3 linked regions of the Cricetulus griseus genome follow. The protein of the gene in region 1 interacts with the protein of each later gene in a pairwise test. Links are inferred from orthologs where the notes say so. Each region holds a gene or a part of one and is shown in the gene's direction. Other genes may lie near its edges.

Region 1 (5,639 bases):
CTTCCTAGCATTGTGAAAGCTAACCATGTGGGATGAAGCTTCCAGGTTAGTACCAGCTTGATGTTTCCTGGTCTTTGACCCAGTATATCATGCCTTCAGCAAATGAGTCTTATCACCAAGTTCTGGAAGGTAACCAAATGCATTGGTAAAAGCTTGTGATGTTTGGGAGGTGGATAAGTATCTCACTGTCCAACATTTTTTTTAAAGTAACCCTGCCACTAGGCTTTTAATGAAAACAATTATAAAATAGAGGATTTGATTTTGTAATCTATTGGTAGTTTTAAAATGACTACTGCCATTCTATTTAAAAATTAATAGTTTTGCAAGGCTTTGTGCAGATGCAGAAGCTGCCTAATGTCCTCCAAGATCAGAGGTGCTCATGGGCCAGTCACATTAGCCAAGCAGTTAGTTTCAGGTTCAATGAGAAACCCTGCCTCAGAGCATAAGGTAGGGAATGATAGAGGAAGATGATGGCAACCAGTGTCTACACATGCATGCATGGGCACACACGCACACAAACTTCACACACACACACACACACACACACACACACACACACACACACACACACACACAGTCCTCCCCTAAAAACCTTTTGAGTACTTAAAAATACTGTTTAGTGTTTGTCATTTTTGCCCAGTACACAGGTTTCACTGTCCTGGCTTTAATAAGTAAAATATATATGTAAAAATATATACGTGCAAAATATATGTGTGTGTGTATGTGTAGCTGCCAAATCTTGCTGTCCTTAAAAAATCATGTATTTTTGGTGTTACCATTCCAAGGATCTTGGGCTTGGCAATTATGGAACTAATTAAATTTTCTTGTGAGGAAAGCAGCCAGCTAGACCACAGCCCCGGGCACATAACCCGAGCTCCCCACTCTGCCTCACTTATTCTGTATGAGAGCTGAAGCTGGTAGAGCAGAGGAGGTAGAACACGCAGGCCAGCAGCTGCTGACAGATTTCAGGAACTACACAGAGTCAGCGTTTGAGCCCCAGCCCTGACAGCTCCTATCACAGAGGGGTGACAGTGGAGGCTCATCTCCCCATGTGAGTTGGCTGCAGATGACAATCTGCCAAGCTAAAATAATTGAAAAAGCATCGGTTGTATAAAAATGAATCGACTTGGCTTAGCTCTAAGGTATTTTGAAAAACTCTAGGAATGCCACTCTATTTTTTTTTTCCTTGAGATTGTTTACATGAATAGCATCCTGGACATTTAACAAACAGATTCATCTGTGGAAAAGGTATTTTTAGCCATTTTATGAGCACATCTGTGTCATTTAGCAATTTAGCAGTCTTTATAGGTTGCAAAGGTAATGGTACTTAATTACAACAATTTTTTGGCAGCTAATGTACTGGTTTCTTATATGTATTACTTTTTCTTTAATAAATATTTTTCTGCATTAAATGATTTGATGGAAATAATTAAACCTTCTCAAGGTTGTCAAAGGGGAATCTGAACCTCCAATTCAATTTTATTTGAACTCTCCATTCTTTCTATATTAGCAGTCTCTATGATGCATTAACATTTACTTCTTAAAACAGAGACCCATTTAAGTGTGATTATTTAAGAAATTCTCAAGAAAAAGATGATGTATATGTATATCTGCATTGTGTGTATGTGTATGTGTATGTGTGTGTATATGTAGCTTTCTTGCAAACAATGAGAAAGAAACTTATCCTTCTACAATACCAAATTAAAAACAAAACATGGATGTATTTATGCATCAGATCAACCTTTAAAAAGAATACGATGGAATGATGTAGATGATTATGTATTGATATGTAAAATAAGAATTAGCTCGTTCATTTCTTGGTCAAAGTACAGTGTCACTGTCATCTTCTACATCCTCAGCACATTCCTGACTGCATTTTAAATAGTAGCTTTTCTCTTCATTCTTTCCTACAGTTGGACAGTGTCACCTCCCTGATCCAAGCAGCCAAAAATTTAATGAATGCTGTAGTGCAAACAGTGAAAATGTCGTACATTGCTTCCACCAAGATCATCCGCATCCAGAGTTCTGCCGGCCCCCGGCACCCTGTTGTCATGTGGAGGATGAAGGCTCCTGCAAAAAAGCCCTTGATTAAGAGAGAGAAGCCAGAAGAAACATATGCGGCTGTCAGAAGAGGCTCAGCAAAGAAAAAGATCCACCCTGTCCAAGTCATGAGTGAATTTAGAGGGAGACAAGTCTACTGAGGCCCTAGTCCACTCCAGTGCCCATTGACATACCTCGGGCCAAGCACATTGCATTTATTTCACAGCTCACTGGCTCTTTAATTTCGCTAAGTTTCGGAGTTAAGTTCTCAAATAACATAAAACGTTGGGGTTAAACCACTGTGCACAATGTGTATTTGGGGTCCTGTCATTGTCATCTCTCTATCGCCAGCACAACCCAGTTAACTTGCAGGTAGTACCTAGGGAATAAACTTCACAGGTGTCATTTTGGCCTGGCCCTTCACAGGGAATAGCTTATGTCCATTACAAAATGAATGCAAAAGACAAAGTGAGTTCTGCTTCCTTGGAAATGTTTAAGCCTATGCACTATGTATCCTTGTGAAGGATGACACACTCAGAAGCTTTTCACTTGCTTTTCAGTGGACACAAGAGGGTTTAGCAACTATTTTCCCAGTGTCTGTACCTTCCTTAGCAGACCTAACCTGGCATCTAATCTGCCAGACATGTGTCCTTCTTGCCATAGGAAAGAATGTTCAATTTCTAGATATTGCTACCTACTATTAGTTGGTGAGTTGACTATAACCAAATGTGGGGAGTCAAACTTCTTACCAGAATTTGAAAGTCAGTCATGTTATTAAAGAAGTGCTTTGATGACACTCTGAGGCTGCAGAGACTGTGGATGCTGTTTGCACCTTTTTTTTTCCTACTATTTAGAAGTTCTGTACTCTTAGCATTGGGCCTGTCAGAACACACATGTCTAGAGTCATCACCCATTGGAGAAATGAATTTTTGTTTCTTGATTGGTTTGTGTGGTACTGTGATTCAAACAACATTACATACGCTAGGAATGTGGTCTACTCCTGAGTTCCACATCCAGCCCTTCAGAGAAATGAGACACACTGACTTATAGTTCAGAGCAAGTCTGAGATAGAGGAAACAAAAGGAATTTTGCGTGATTATAAAAATCTCTTTGTATCCATTGCAATGGTAACTAAAATGAAAGACTGATTTGCAAAGCCTTTGGCACGGAGTGAAATCTACCACCCAACAATGAAGCTGAATTAATGACAATGAGTTTGGAGTGATTTTTAATAACCACCTCTAAACGAATGTCACTGGGGTTGTTTTCTATGTCCAATGACTGTGGTTATCTACAGCTGAGTTTATGATGGACTCTGTAGTAGTCTGAGAGTATGCTCTATGGCAATGATAGCCCTTTGTTTTTCCATCATTTCCTCCTCTCTTTCTTCACACTGAGCTTTATATTTACGGTGTTGGAGGAGTGAGGCTTCAATTTTACCATGCCACACTCAAAGGGCTTTTTCTCCACTTATTCCCCTTTTCTGTGTCAGAACCCTTCCATAACTGAAGCTCTTCCCTTTTGCAACACTGCCCTTGAAGAGGCATTTGGACACTTTCAATTCATCAGTTAGTATTTCTATATGTAACAGAAGTTGGTGTTAGGGGGGCCACTTGTACAGGAAGCAAAAGGGATTGAACGTACTGGGAATTCATTGTGTATTCTCTTGAACAAAAAAGAAAAGAAAGGTCTGGCAGATGATTGTGTTATTGAGGCGAATATTAACTCTTTTAGTAATTGAATTATTTCATTATACCAAAGTGTTGGCTTGGTTGCCTGAGAACTCTACAAAATTTAGTATGAACTAGGTGAAGTCCATTCATTTCTTCCCTCATCTTGCCCTAAGGGCTTGTGCATAGTAATTATTCTGGACAAAATCTACTCTCATGATGAGAAGCAGAGAAGGGAATTTGGTCTTCTTGACAATATTGGCACAATTGGGACAAATACCCTCTGTTACTGAAATGCAGCCATAGTGTTCTGTACTCAGTGGAGAGCAATTTTAGAATAGACTCCTCTTCGGTACCATGCAGATTTTTAATTTTGGGAACAACCAATTTCTTAAAAATACACAAACAAAAAATACCACATACTAACTTTATATACTAGGTCTTGACCTTACATAGGCCAGACTCATACACCTTCTTTGCAAAACCCACTGTTCCTTTGGCCCCATGTCATCCTTCTACATATTGGAATTTAGCATGATCTATTAGAGGAAAGCAATAATAAAAGAAATAATTTTAAATGATGCAAATTCCAGATAATTTTACTCGAAATGAGAAACAGTCGAGGCCTTCACTTTGGTACAGTGTTCCAGCTCAGCTCAAAATAAACAGCTATAATTAAACAAAACAATAAAATTTTTAACTTGGTGAGTGCCCAGGGAGTACATTTTCTCTAGCAATTAAAGGTGTAATAAAAACCAAAGGGATAAAGCTGAGAAGGACATCTGTCTACCTGAGAAACACCTGCAGTGACAGTATATTAGTTGGATTCAAGCAATGGGTGATGCAAACATCTACAGAAAAAACAGGAAGAGGGGTACTTGCAAATTTTACACTATAGAGTACAATTAGATAAGTCTGGACAATAAATATTCTATATACATATTTATATGGCAACATTTTTTCTGCAGTGGAATGCTGGGAAATTTTAATGGAAGTAATAACTTGATAACGCAGTATACACATTTTCAAATAGCATCACATTTGTTTGATTTTGCTAGTCAATACTCACTTGTCCTTTCTACCAAATTAATTTCAGTTCACTTACTTACTTTTTTAGAAAAATGTACTTGAAAAGAAGTTTTATACTATCCCCAAGGACATCTCCATCTCTTCCTCGCCACCTATATTGCCACCAAGTGTGATGTTAAATTCAAAGTAGTCTAGATTCAGGATAACTCAGAAAATACTCATGATGATATCAAATATAAAAGTTGATAAATATACATTCCATCTTTACTAAATAAAATTGTTAAGTTATAGTTCTTTCTTTTAAAGTTTCTAGAAATTTTTGAGTAAATCAGGAAAATATATTTCAAGCTGATGTCAATCATGCTTTTCTGTTTCTCTTATGATTTGAGTCTGACCTCTGAATATGCTAGAAGATACATTATAGTCTTATATTCTCATGTGCCATCTGAGATTGTGAAGTCTTTTAGCATCAGTATAACACATTTGCTTCTCATGAAGTCTCTTCCTCCCACAGTATAAGGAACCTGCAACTGAACACAGAGGCCTATTCTTGTAACCTTCCACTGCAGACTAATCTCTTTTCAATTCATTATAAGTGAAAAAACTAAAAGTGTGAATATGTAATTAAGTTCCCATTAGGGCATTCATGTCTCTTAACAATAATGCTTCCCAGATTCTATAGCAAGTTGTTGAAAAGACTAAGTTTGACAATGATACTGGGTTCTTCAGTCTTCACTTTGGGGACTGGGGAGATGGTTCAGGCAGTAAGTAAGTACTTGCTATGCCAACATGGTCTCTGGCTTCTGATTACCTACACACACATGAAAAGCCAGGTAATGGGGTACCCTTTTTATTCCAGTGCAAGAGAGGGGGTCCATGGGGCTCTGTGGCCAGCCAGTC
Region 2 (6,398 bases), on another chromosome or scaffold:
CCACCTTAAGCAGGCAGAGGCCCCTCCCTCCCACCTGGCCCAGGTATCCCCGCCCCCAGCCAAGCTCTGGGCTGGGCGGGCGTCTGTCTAAGAAGGCCAGCCAGGAAGAGACTTCTGGAACTGAGCCTTGAGGGACAAGACTGGGAAGAGGCCCAGGACAGGTGGGGTGGATAGTCGCCCCTGTCACTATGCAGGAGGGTAACTTCCTGCTGTCTGCCCTGCAGCCTGAGACTGGTGTTTGCTCCCTGGCACTGCCCTCGGACCTGCAGCTGGATCGCCGGGGTGCTGAGGGGCCGGAGGCTGATAGGCTTCGAGCTGCCAGAGTCCAGGAGCAAGTCCGAGCCCGCCTCCTGCAGTTAGGCCAGCAGTCGCGGCACAATGGGTCTACCGAGCTTGATGGCGCCACCGAGATCACCAGAGGTACGCCAGCTTGGGCATGGTGGGCAACAAAGGGTAATGTAGGTGGTAGTGGTGACAGTGGCAGGTAGAGGTGGCTAGGGCAGTAGTGTTGGTGTCAGGGGCAGAGGCCGTACGAGCTCGGGGTTCAGGCCTTGACTCACCTCACTGAGGCCTGCTCTGAGTCACCGCCCCGCCCCAGTAGGCATGGGGAACAGCCTGGGTGGGGCATACCTCCTCCCCAGCCAAGACAGGGGTCTAAGGCTGGGTGCCCCACTCTCTAAGTTGGGAAAACCCGGGAGGCTCAAGGAGAACAACCAGGCCCACCTATTGGCAACCCCCAATACATTCCCTCATCACCACAGGCTCGCTTGAGGTCCCAGACAGAGAGGCCAGAGTGCCTTCTAACCAGATGGGAGTGAGTTTAACAGTTGTATGAGAGAGCGATGATCCTAGATAGAGCCCAGGTCTGTCTGGAGCAGGGGCTCCCTGAGGAATTACAGAACTGGGCCTACCAGGAGTGACCCAGATACTCTTCATGAGAATAGCCTGCAGGGTACTCTTCAGGGGCGTCTCTCTCTCTCTCTCTCTCTCTCTCTCTCTCTCTCTCTCTCTCTCTCTCTCTGTGTGTGTGTGTGTGTGTGTGTGTGTGTGTGTGTGTTAGAGGGGTCACTCAGATGTGCTGGGTTCAAGGTAGTCATTCCATAAACATCATTTCCCTACCTGCCAGGCTACAACAACAGGCATTAAATTCAGACAGTACAATAGACCTCTGTTCAGAGGTCTAGACCCCAGTTCACAGTGGTCCACCTCTGGCCTCTAGCTACTAGCCAGAGGGAGAGGGCTGTCTGGCAGAAGGGCTGGTCAGGAATTGGATTGCTGCCTGAAATCTTCCTGAGCATAAGCCTTACTGGAGCCAAGTTGATGCCCAGGGGTCATGGGGTGGGGGAGGACAGAGGGAGGGGTTAATTACCACCTGGATACCCTGCCAATTAGGGGGAGGAGGATAGTAATTTGGGGGTGGGCGTAAGGTCCCCAGGCTGGGGTGTGCCCCCTAGGCTGGCCCTCACTAGCGTCAAAGGGTTAACAGCCCCTGCCCAGAAGCCTCATTAACCTGGGTGGATCTGGGGAACACCAGACTGTCCACCCCCTGGGCAGGGTTGGGAGGAGTGAAGGCCCCTTCCCCATACCCATACTGACCTCTGTAGTAGTAGTAGCCCTTGCTCAGGGAGCCCTTCCTAAAACCCTTGGCAGAGGCTGAGTCCACCCGAGCCCTGCCCACTATATTACCATCCACTCTTGGGATGATGTTTCCTGGGTGGTCTCACCTCTGCACCCACTATCTCTCTGTTCATCTGGCTGCGAGTTTTTCTGTACACCTATGTGACCCTCTCACCTCCCTCTTTCCCACCAATCCCTTCATCTACATATCATTCCAAGCTTCTGACCAGTCCTCCCCACCCACTCACCCACCTTTCTGTCCACTGACCACGGAGCTGGGCTGACTCCCTGTCCGCAGCTAATATGCAGCTGGATGGGTAGGTGTGGTCCCTGCCTCAGGCTCTACCAGGTGGCTCTCCCACTGTCCATTAGAGCAGATGGATCCAGAGAGACTACATCCTTGGCCTACACAATGTCACTACCCTGTGACTGTAGTACAGATGGAGTCTGGGCACAAGAGGATTTCAAAGGAGGTCATTGTGGGTTGGGGCAGGCTGGGCTGGCTTTCTGGGGGGAGCCAGATGCTGTACTCTGGCGGGGACTGGACAGCTTATGGAGAACCTTGGCGAATTCTCCAGGCAGGCCAGAGGTCAGTAAGATGAGTAGTCTGGATTCCTTGGAGCAGAGAAGGAACTTTGGAGTTCTAGGGAAAGGGGGCCTACCAGAACAGATTGAATGAAACCAAGCCGCAGCCACAGTAGAACCATGGGCAAGGCATTAGCCCCAAAGCCCACTTGGCCTCCCTGCTCTGGGTCTGATGTGACTCTCAGGGTTACGATCAGAGACCTCTGGCAGAAGGGAGAAGAAAAGCCAACACTTTGCTATTTGTCATGGTCAGGCTGTCACTATCCCTGTCCACAGGCATGCCGAGGGGTCAATACCACACTATGCAGGCTGGCTTCAGCTCCCGATCCCAGGGCCTGAGTGGAGACAAGACCTCGGTGAGTCAGGGATTTAGCTCTGCAGTCCACACTGAGTGGGAGGCTCCACAGGGGAAGCTGGGAGCTCTGTATCAGAAGGGGAGGACACCGGGTAAACCCCAGATACCCCTTCACTGTGCCCTCCCCTCCCATAGACCATCCGGCCCATCGCCAAGCCGGCCTACAGCCCAGCCTCCTGGTCCTCCCGCTCAGCCGTGGACCTGAGCTGCAGTCGGAGGTTGAGCTCTGCCCACAATGGGGGCAGTGCCTTTGGGGCTGTGGGATATGGGAGTGCCCAGCCCACTCCACCCATGCCCACCCGCCCAGTGTCCTTCCACGAGCGAGGTGGAGGAGCCAGCAGAGCCGATTATGACACGTTGTCCCTGCGCTCGCTGAGGCTGGGGCCTGGGGGCCTGGACGATCGCTACAGTGTGGTATCTGAGCAACTGGAGCCTGCAGCTGCCTCCACCTACAGGGCCTATGCTTATGAGCGCCAGGCCAGCTCTGGCTCTAGCAGGGCAGGAGGCCTGGACTGGCCAGAGGCAACCGAGGGCCAACCCAGCCGGACCATCCGTGCACCCGCCATGCGAACCCTGCAGAGATTTCAGAGCAGCCACCGAAGCCGTGGAGTCACTGGGTCAGTGTCAGGTACCGGCCTGGAACCCGTGGCCCGAGCCCCATCTGTGCGCAGTCTCAGTCTCAGCCTGGCTGACTCAGGTCACCTGCCAGATGTACGTGGATTGGACAGCTACACAGGCCATCGCACCCTGCAGAGGCTCAGCAGTGGGTAAGGAGCTGGGCTTGAAGCAGGGAGGGGACAGCCTGGCCCAATCCTAAGGTCTACCTGAACACTGACTAAGTCCTGGTTCTGCAGCTTTGATGACATTGACCTGCCCTCAGCAGTCAAGTACCTCATGGCCTCAGACCCCAACCTGCAGGTGCTAGGAGCGGCTTATATCCAGCACAGGTGCTACAGTGATGCAGCAGCCAAGAAGCAGGTGACATATTCCACTGACTGTCCCCTGTTATCTCTCGGTGACTGTCCCACCGTCCCCAGATGCCCTTAATGACTGTCTTCACCAGCCCCCACCCCTTCTGACCTCTGCTCCTTGGCCCTCCCTGCTGATCACTAGGCTGGCTGAGCAAACCTCACCACTCCATATCCTCAACGGAGAACGGGCAGAGATGCCCTGTTTGTACATACCTGCATCACCTATATACACCTACACACATATACATGGCGCCTGTGGCACATATATGCATCCGAGACATATACTTGGATTACCTCCATATACCCGAATATGCATGCGCAGTCCTGCATACACCTGTAGCATCCAGAGTCACCATTTCCAGGCACCTGCACCCCCCCCAATACATTTGCATACGTTATGTACAGACTTGCATATCACCTGCACCATCTGGGTCACCTACGGACATATGCACTTATTTCCATGCATGTGGACATTTCTGCCTGCATTTTCAGTCTGCATATGTCCACATACACCTGTATATATGTGCCACAGGCTCGCAGCCTTCAGGCGGTGCCTAGACTGGTGAAGCTCTTTAACCACGCCAACCAAGAGGTGCAGCGCCATGCCACAGGTGCCATGCGCAACCTTATTTACGACAATGCAGACAACAAGCTGGCTCTGGTAGAAGAGAATGGCATTTTCGAACTGTTGCGGACACTTCGAGAGCAGGATGATGAGCTACGCAAAAACGTTACAGGTACCCTTGTCCCTCCAGCTTCATCATCAGTCCCCTCCTCTGCGCTCTCCTGTCTTGTCCCTGCTCTTCTCTTCCTCTACTCCCCTCTTTCCCTTCCTTGTTCTCAACAATCTGTCTTCATCTTATGCCTTCCCTGTCCCATATTGAATTTTTTGGGGGGTTGGGTTTTTTTGTTGTTTATCTTATTTATTACTATTTTGTGTACACCCATGCATGCCCCAGGCATCCGTGTGAAGGTCAGAGGACAACTCCTTCAACCATGGGATCTGGGGAGTCAAACTCAAGTAATTGGGCTTGTGCAGAAAGCACCTTTACCTGCTGAGCCTTTTTGCCAGCCCATTTTTTAATTTATTTTTACTGAGACAGGAACTCACTATGTAGCCTTGGCTGTCTTGAAACTCATTATGTAGACCAGGCTAGTCCCAAATTCATAGAGATCTGCCTGCCTCCTGAGTGCTAGGTTTAAAGATAGGTGACATCATCATGCCTGGCCTATTTCCTTATTTTTTAATGATTTGTTTATTTTTATTATGTATATGAAGTTTTTGCCTCCATGTGTCTTCGTTTACCCTATATATGCCTGGTACCCGCACGTGTCAGGAGAGAGCATTGGATTCCCTGAAACTAGAGTCACAGTCATTAAAAACCATATAGGTAATTGGAACCAAATCTGTGTCTTCAACAAGAGCAGCAAACACTTTTATCCATTGAGCCATTTCTCCAGCCCCTGAATTGTGTGCGTGTTGGTATATATATTCAATTTATTTACTTCATTTTATGTATATGAATCTTTTGCTTGCATGAATGTCTGTATACCACATGCATGCCCAGTGCCCATGGAGGTGAGAAGAGGGCTTCAGCTCTCCTGGAACTAAAGTTACAGATGATTGTGAGACACCATGTAGTTGCTGGGAGATGAATCCAGATCCTCTGGAAGATCAGCCTGTGCTCTTAACCACTGAGCCATGTCCCCAGCCCACCCCACCCCATTTGTATTGTTCCACTCTGCACACCAAACTGGCTTCTGTCTCACTATGTATTAGACGCTGGCCATAAGCTCATGGCAATCCTTCTACCTAGGCCTTCTACCTACAAACACCTTACTGTGAAGGCTCATGCCTGTCATGAGCCATCACAATAAACTAAACTTGTTGTTGTTGGTGCTTGACGTTATTGTTGTGTATATTGTCTGTTTATGAGACAGGGTCTCACTTTGTAGTTCTGACTGACCTGGAACTCATTATGTAGATCAGGTTTGCCTCAGATCCACAGAAATCTGCTTGCCTGTGTTTCCCAAATGCTGGGATTAAAGGCATGTACCACAATGCCTGGCTATTGTTTATGAGAGACGGTCTCTCCATGTAGCCCAGGATGGACTCAAACTCACAGCCATTCTTCTATTTTAGCTTCCTAAGTTCTGGGATTGCAAGTATCACACATACAAAACTTTTTTTTTTTTTTTTTGGCTTTTACCCTTATTTTCTGTGGTGCTGTGTGTGGCACTCAGGGCTTCATGCATACAAGCAGGGCCTACAAGTGCTCTACAACAGAGCATTATCTTCTAGCCAAGGCTCTCTCTCCCCAGTCATTTCCACTCCCAGGCCTTCAAATCCCCCTACACTTTGTTTGTTCCTCTTGCTCTGTTCCTGTCCATGCTTCCAAAGGTCATACTGAGGACCTCTCCAGGGCAGCTCTAGAGTAAGGCCAAGAAAATGTGAGGGCAAGAGCTGAAAAAATGGCTCAGTAAATAAAGAATGTTTGCTGCTCTTCAAAGGGACCCATCTTCTGTTCTCAACACCTACAGGCAGCTCATAACTGCACGTAACTTCAGCTCCAGGTGATCTGGCACCCTCTTCTGGACTCCACGGGTACCTTACTCATTTGCTTATAATATACCCATGCATGGACACACACATACTTTACAAAATAAGTAAATCTTTAAACCGGGTCTTGGTGGCATACGCCTTTAATCCCAGGACTGGGGAGGCAGAGGCAAGCAAATCTCTATGAGTTTGAGGCCAGCCTGGTCTACAGAGTGAGTGCCAGGATAGGCTCCAAAGCTACACAGAGAAACCATATCTCAGGGGGGAAAAAAAAGAAGTAAATCTTTTATAAAAAGAAGCAGGGAGAGCC
Region 3 (6,398 bases), on another chromosome or scaffold:
TCCAGCACCCATGTAAAAATGCTGGATGCAGTAGAGGGCATTTGCAGCCCCTGCCCTGGGGAAGCAGAGACTGGAGGAAGCCCTGGAGCTTGCTGGCCAGCCAGTTTAGCCTAAGGAGCTTGGGCCAGTTAGAGACCCTGTATCTGAGGAGGGGGATTGTGTTCCTGAGGATGACACCTGAGGTTGTCTTCTGACCTACACACACACACACACACACACACACACACACACACACACACACACACACAAATTAAAAAGAGGGGCTGTGCTCAAGAAAGAATGACACTTTAGGGTATTTCATTTAGATACCTCTGTCAAAAAAGTTACTGGTTATCCCAGAAGGAGCCATTTTAAATACCATAAATACTCCAGCATCTAAGGTATCCTCATTGTCTCCATCTCTTCCTCAAGTTGTTGTATCTGCTAGTCAAAATCCTGCCTCTGTCTTCCCTGCTTTTCGATCATCTGGTTCAGAGAAACCTGACAAAGCTGCATCTTGAATTTAGACTAAATGAGCCAGTTTTTAAATAACGGGGCATTGTTTTAACTCCCATAAAAATTTTAACTGTTTATTATACTGTTGAAAACATACTGTTCATACTGTGTGTCTGTGTGTGTGTCTGTGTCTGTGTGTGTGTGGTGTGTTGGGGTGTGTGTGTGTGTGTAGGTGTATGTGTATCTTCATTAGCTTGCACAAGACTTTGTTTTCTTGGGGAGGGCAAAATATACCATTTCACTCATTGGTGTGAAGATGTTTTCCAAGATTCTTTGTTTAAAATATGTCATCAAAATTTACCTGTCTATATAACATAAATTTAACAAAGTCAAGTTTGACTAGTTTAAGTAAGCTAGCCTTTTCATAATTATATTGATGTTTCTTCTTAAATCTGGACTGTTGTGGTGTATCTACAGTATAGTATTCTGTGTCATTGGTGACATTTTATTTTTGTTTCTGTAATGCATTAAGAAAATGCAGTCCATGGTGTAAAATTGTACATATTCCTTAAATCCCTAATAATCTGTACTAAATATATGTACAAAGAACAAAAAAAAAAAAAGAATGACACTTTAGTAAAGGGATATTTGCATAGGGGTGATGATTGGGGGTGAGCTTTCTGACTGGGGTCTGGGGAGCTGACTCAACATGGATTCTGCCTACTCCTCAGTTCTCCTGTAGAGTCTGTCCTGTTCTATGCCATTACCACGCTGCACAACCTGCTGCTGTACCAGGAGGGCGCCAAGATGGCGGTGCGCCTGGCAGATGGGCTGCAGAAGATGGTACCCCTACTCAACAAGAACAACCCTAAATTCCTGGCCATCACCACTGACTGCCTGCAGCTCCTGGCCTATGGCAACCAGGAGAGCAAGGTGGGTCCCTTCACCATGGCTACAGTATCCAGTGGCTTCAGGCCACTTCCCGGAAGGCATACTAATGTGTATATAGATGAATGTGTCTCATATCCTGTTTCTGAATTCCTCAGAACTAATATTTTAAGGTTTGAGAAAAAATTAGGGCTAGGGATATAACTCAGTGATAGAATACTGCCTAGCATGCTGAATGATTCAATCCCTAGAATTGAAAAAGGCTGGGGGATTGGGGTGGAGAGATGGCTTGCAGTACCCATGGCGGCCAGAAGAGGGTGCTGCATTCCTAGAGCTGGCATTACAGATCGTTTTAAGTCGCCATGCGAATGCTGGGAATCAAACCTAGACTCTCTGGAAAAGCAGCGAGTGCTGCTAACAGCTGAGCCATCTCTCCAGCCCTCTCTGTGTGTTTTACACAGGGTCTCACTATCTATCCCAGGGTGACCTGGAACCCTAACTCTCCTTGTAGTCTTCTAACTGCTGGATTAGAGGTGTGGAACACCAGAGCCAGCAGGGCTAAAGGCCTTTTTCTTTTTATTTATTTGTTTCTAAACACTTCTAGACTTTTACTCAGTGTGTTTGTTCTCTTTCCAAAAGGGTTACATCGTGTTACCCATTACACTGCCTTTAGTGACAATGCTGTGCTAGACTCCCTTTGCTAGATCCTTGCCAGCATTTGGTATTAATAGTTTTTTTCCCCAAGATATTGGCTTATTTGATAGTCACCAAAGTCTTAAAAGGTTAATAATGAGAGCTCCATCACCCCCTCACACACGTGAACACATAGGTGTGTGAGCCTGTTATCCTACACTCTGCCTTTCCCTCCCCACAGCTGATCATCCTGGCCAATGGGGGACCTCAGGGGCTTGTGCAGATCATGAGGAACTACAGCTATGAGAAACTGCTCTGGACCACCAGCCGTGTGCTCAAGGTGCTCTCTGTGTGTCCCAGCAATAAGCCCGCCATTGTGGAGGCTGGTGAGTGAGAACCTCAAGGTGGCCTGTTGGGGACTAGAGAGGTGACCATAGCTTAAGAGCTCTTGCTACTTTTCCAGAGGACCTCAGTTTGGTTCCCAGTAACCACATTCGGTGACTCACAACTACCTGTAGCTCAAATTCAAGGGATCTGATGCCCTCTTCTGGCCTCCATGGGCATTGCACATCACATTACACAGACACACAGACACACAGACACACAGACACACACACGAATAATAATAATAATAATAATAATAATAATAATAATAACCCTTTAAAAGTAAAATTATAGAGGAGTGACCTGTGGGGTCAGGAGGATTGGGGTAGGGCCCCTGCCCTGGCAGCAATCTGGCCCCCCTAAGGCTGACAGGACCTCTGTCCCATCCCCAGGTGGGATGCAGGCTCTGGGCAAGCATCTCACAAGCAACAGCCCGCGCCTGGTGCAGAACTGCCTGTGGACTCTACGCAACCTCTCAGATGTGGCTACCAAGCAGGTAAGTCTGGGCCCGGGCCATTCTCTGAAACCATATTGTCAGCCTACCACCTGGGCATATGACCTCGGGGACCTATGAGAAGAGGAAGGAGGCTGACATCTTTAAGTTGGGGTTCAGGTGATGGTGATGGGACAATTTGAGCCTTGACCCTGGGACAGGAGCAGTACTGTTCCATAAAACTCAAGTACAGGGGCTCAGTGGTTAAGAGCATTTGTCTGTATCTCTAGTTCCAGGGCATCTGATGTCCTCTTATAGCTTTTGAGAGCGCTAGGCATACACACATGGTGCACAGATATACAGGCAGTCAAAACACTAACCTCACAAAATACTAACACACACAAAACACTAACCTCAGAGCACTGCTGATTCAGGGCAAGTTGCTGGCACCACCTTCCAAGCAGACTGTATCCATGTGTTTACCCATCACCACCACCTAGCAAGCACCCTTCATTCTGCATGGCTTCTGTAGGCAGGAGCTGAACTGACTTTAACCCTCTTAGCTCCCTAGAAGGGGATCCTGCAACCCCATTGGTTGTGGGAGAAACTAAGGCTCAGGGAGTTAAGAGAAAGCCCATGTTGAGAGCTATTAGATGGCAGAGCTTGCGTCCTGACCCATGACTGTGTGTATCTCTGAGACCGATAGTCTTTTGGATCCACCACTAGACCCACACAGCCCTCCCTGGGAGAAGAGAGGTTTCTGAGTTGGGGATTTTTCTCAGAAGCAGATTTAGCTTAGGGATCCCTGGTGTGACAGAGAAGACCCAGCCAGGTGAGAAGTATGCGACAGGGGACCAGCTGACCACTGAAGCCTATGACCTCCTTGCTAGCTTCCTCTTGACCAGAGGCCTCCTATGGCCAGCAGGGATGGAGCACATGGGATAGAGGAAGGACCATGGGCTTGGAGGCAGGCCTGCAGCTGTGGGTCTGTGGGAAGATCTCCAGGAGAGGCTAACAGCTTTCCCCAGGGCGTGGAAGGCCATGGGGTGAAGGTTCCTGGCCACATAAAAGCAAGACCAAGCCCTTCAGCCTATCCGCTGCCCTCAGACCTACTGGGGAGGCTGTGTAGAGATGACGTGTTCCTTACGCTTCATGCTCTTCCTGTCTCAGGAGGGCCTGGAGAGCGTGCTGAAGATCCTGGTCAACCAGCTGAGTGTGGACGATGTCAACGTCCTCACCTGTGCCACAGGCACCCTCTCCAACCTGACCTGCAACAACAGCAAAAACAAGACGCTGGTGACACAGAACAGTGGCGTCGAGGCACTCATCCACGCCATCCTGAGAGCCGGTGACAAGGATGACATCACAGAGCCTGCTGTCTGTGCCCTGCGTCACCTTACCAGCCGCCACCCGGAGGCTGAGATGGCCCAGAACTCTGTGCGCCTCAACTATGGCATCCCGGCCATTGTGAAGCTGCTCAACCAGCCCAACCAGTGGCCACTGGTCAAGGTACCCACTAAGGGCCAGGACACAGGAGACCTAGCGCACTGGCTCAGAGAACAGGAAGGAAATACCACTCCCAGCACTTTCTACTTTCACAATGTCTGCTCCAGAGACCTAGAGTTCTTTTGCTTACCTGGTTGTTGCTCTATTTGTTTTATTCTTAATTTTTAAAATTTTGTATTAGAAGACTGGAGAGATGGCTCAGTGGTTACTCTTCCAGAGGTCCTGAGTTCAATTCCCAGCAGCCACAGGGTGATTCACAACCATCTGTAAAAAACAAGGGAACAACACCCTGTAGGTCACACACATGTATTAACACATTTTTTAAAGTAAAAATATTTATTAGAGTTACTAATTTTATTTATTTTGAGACACCATCTCTCTATGTAGCCCTGGCTGTCCTGGAACTCACTCTGTAGGCCAGGCTGGCCTCAAACTCAATTCTCCTGCCTCTGCCTCCCAAGTGCTGGGGTTAAAGGCCATCCATCAGGCTTGGCTCTGGCTGGTTTTTGAGACAAGGTCTGTGGGATGTAGCCTAGGCTGGCCTTAGACTTGCGATTCTCCTGCTCAGGCTCCTGACTGCTGAGAATACCATAGGCATGCCCCACTTCCCTTCAGTGAGCTAGATGCAATTAGTTTAAAGATTAGAGTCTCAAGTATCCCAGGCTGGCCTTAAATTGTAGCTGAGGGTCGCCTTGGTCCTCCTGCCTCAGCCTCACTCAAGTGCTGGAATGAGAGCCATGTGCCACCACATCTGGTCTGTGTAGTCCTGGGACTCAAACCCAGGGCTCGTGCGTCCTGAGCGAAAGCCCCGACCTTAGGTCTAGGTTCTTTCTGTCCTCTGCCTACAGCCGCCCCAGCTCCCTCCCCCAAGCAGAGCTTCTCAAAGTTCCAGCTACATGAGTAGCTAGGACTCTCCTTATCCTGTTGTCACTGCGCTGGGACTGGGTTTTCAGAAGAGATAGTATTGACAAAATACCTGAAGCTGAGGAGTTGGAATACCTTTGCTCACTGCCTCCTTCCCTGCCAGGCAACCATCGGTCTGATCCGGAATCTGGCCCTGTGCCCAGCCAACCATGCCCCGCTGCAGGAGGCCGCAGTCATTCCCCGCCTCGTTCAGCTGTTGGTCAAGGCCCACCAGGATGCCCAGCGACATGTGGCCGCAGGCACCCAGCAGCCCTACACGGTAGATGAGCCTAGTGGCGACTGAGATAGCCTTCTTGGAGGGGCTGGGGCGGGGGTGTCCTCAGAGTTTGTGTGTATATAAGAAGAAGTGTGTGTGTTGACATCAACGCCAACTCCAGGGACTAGTGAGCAGTGTTAGGGTCCTGGTCGGGGAGGTTGCGGCTTTGTCCAGGGCCCCCTTGTCCCCATCCTCGTGTTTCACGGCCCTTTTCATGCAGGATGGCGTGAGGATGGAAGAGATCGTAGAGGGCTGCACTGGAGCCCTCCACATCCTCGCCCGGGATCCCATGAACCGTATGGAGATCTTCCGGCTCAACACCATTCCCCTGTTTGTCCAGGTGAGTCTGGTACAGATGGACAAAGATACGTCCCCAGAAGCTGCTGGGGGTTTGGGGATGTGTGGACCGGGCTTGTCTAGGACTGTTTAAGAGCGGATGAAGCTCAGAAGCAGGGGAGGTGAGATGCAGTCACTCGAGCATTAAGAGCATCCGTGTGTTCAAAACAACCCGAAAAGCACAAACCTGGACTGTGGGAGCCATTGTCTCAGCAGACAGCAGCTCATTAACGCCGGGTCCCAGCAGTGCTGTGTGGGCAGAGTCAACAAGTGGCTCCCAGGTGGCTCATAAGCAAACAGGGTTCAGCCCAGGAGTTTACAGAAATGAAATTTAGCCCCCAGTGAGAGTCCATTTTCCACTGTCAGATTGGCCAGCAAAGAAGATACTTGAGGGTCGGGTGAACTGAGCATCTTGTGCCCTGCTTGGGGGGATGGGCAGCCTGGGAACTGCTGTTGCAGTGTGAAGGGAGTCTTGGAAAGATTCCTGTCCTTTGACCTGGAATTCAAATCTGACTCCCTCTTGAGGAAATCATTGAACATAACTTAAATGGCAGAGGTTTATACAGGGAGATAAATAACAATTGCGGACACAGCTGTTGCAAA

The links.
Region 2: the proteins of Ctnna3 (region 1) and Pkp3 interact in a two-hybrid assay, tested with the Homo sapiens proteins (2 studies listed by IntAct). The link is inferred for Cricetulus griseus from reciprocal best matches to the Homo sapiens genes CTNNA3 and PKP3.
Region 3: the proteins of Ctnna3 (region 1) and Jup interact in binary tests that used the Homo sapiens proteins (3 or more experiments, as listed by UniProt). The link is inferred for Cricetulus griseus from reciprocal best matches to the Homo sapiens genes CTNNA3 and JUP.

What each region holds. Positions count from the first base shown.
Region 1 is NW_023276806.1:272,079,937-272,085,575, reverse strand, and holds the end of Ctnna3 (catenin alpha-3), read left to right. Parts: intron 1-1,913; coding exon 1,914-2,201; 3' UTR 2,202-3,259; downstream 3,260-5,639. UniProt on the Homo sapiens protein: May be involved in formation of stretch-resistant cell-cell adhesion complexes.
Region 2 is NC_048596.1:60,098,266-60,104,663, reverse strand, and holds part of Pkp3 (plakophilin-3), read left to right. Parts: exon of another isoform or gene 1-43; intron 44-224; coding exon 225-420; intron 421-2,478; coding exon 2,479-2,558; intron 2,559-2,692; coding exon 2,693-3,324; intron 3,325-3,411; coding exon 3,412-3,535; intron 3,536-4,060; coding exon 4,061-4,265; intron 4,266-6,398. UniProt on the Homo sapiens protein: A component of desmosome cell-cell junctions which are required for positive regulation of cellular adhesion. Required for the localization of DSG2, DSP and PKP2 to mature desmosome junctions.
Region 3 is NC_048600.1:113,436,457-113,442,854, reverse strand, and holds part of Jup (junction plakoglobin), read left to right. Parts: intron 1-1,166; coding exon 1,167-1,368; intron 1,369-2,197; coding exon 2,198-2,342; intron 2,343-2,732; coding exon 2,733-2,836; intron 2,837-3,943; coding exon 3,944-4,282; intron 4,283-5,306; coding exon 5,307-5,462; intron 5,463-5,679; coding exon 5,680-5,799; intron 5,800-6,398. UniProt on the Homo sapiens protein: Common junctional plaque protein. The membrane-associated plaques are architectural elements in an important strategic position to influence the arrangement and function of both the cytoskeleton and the cells within the tissue.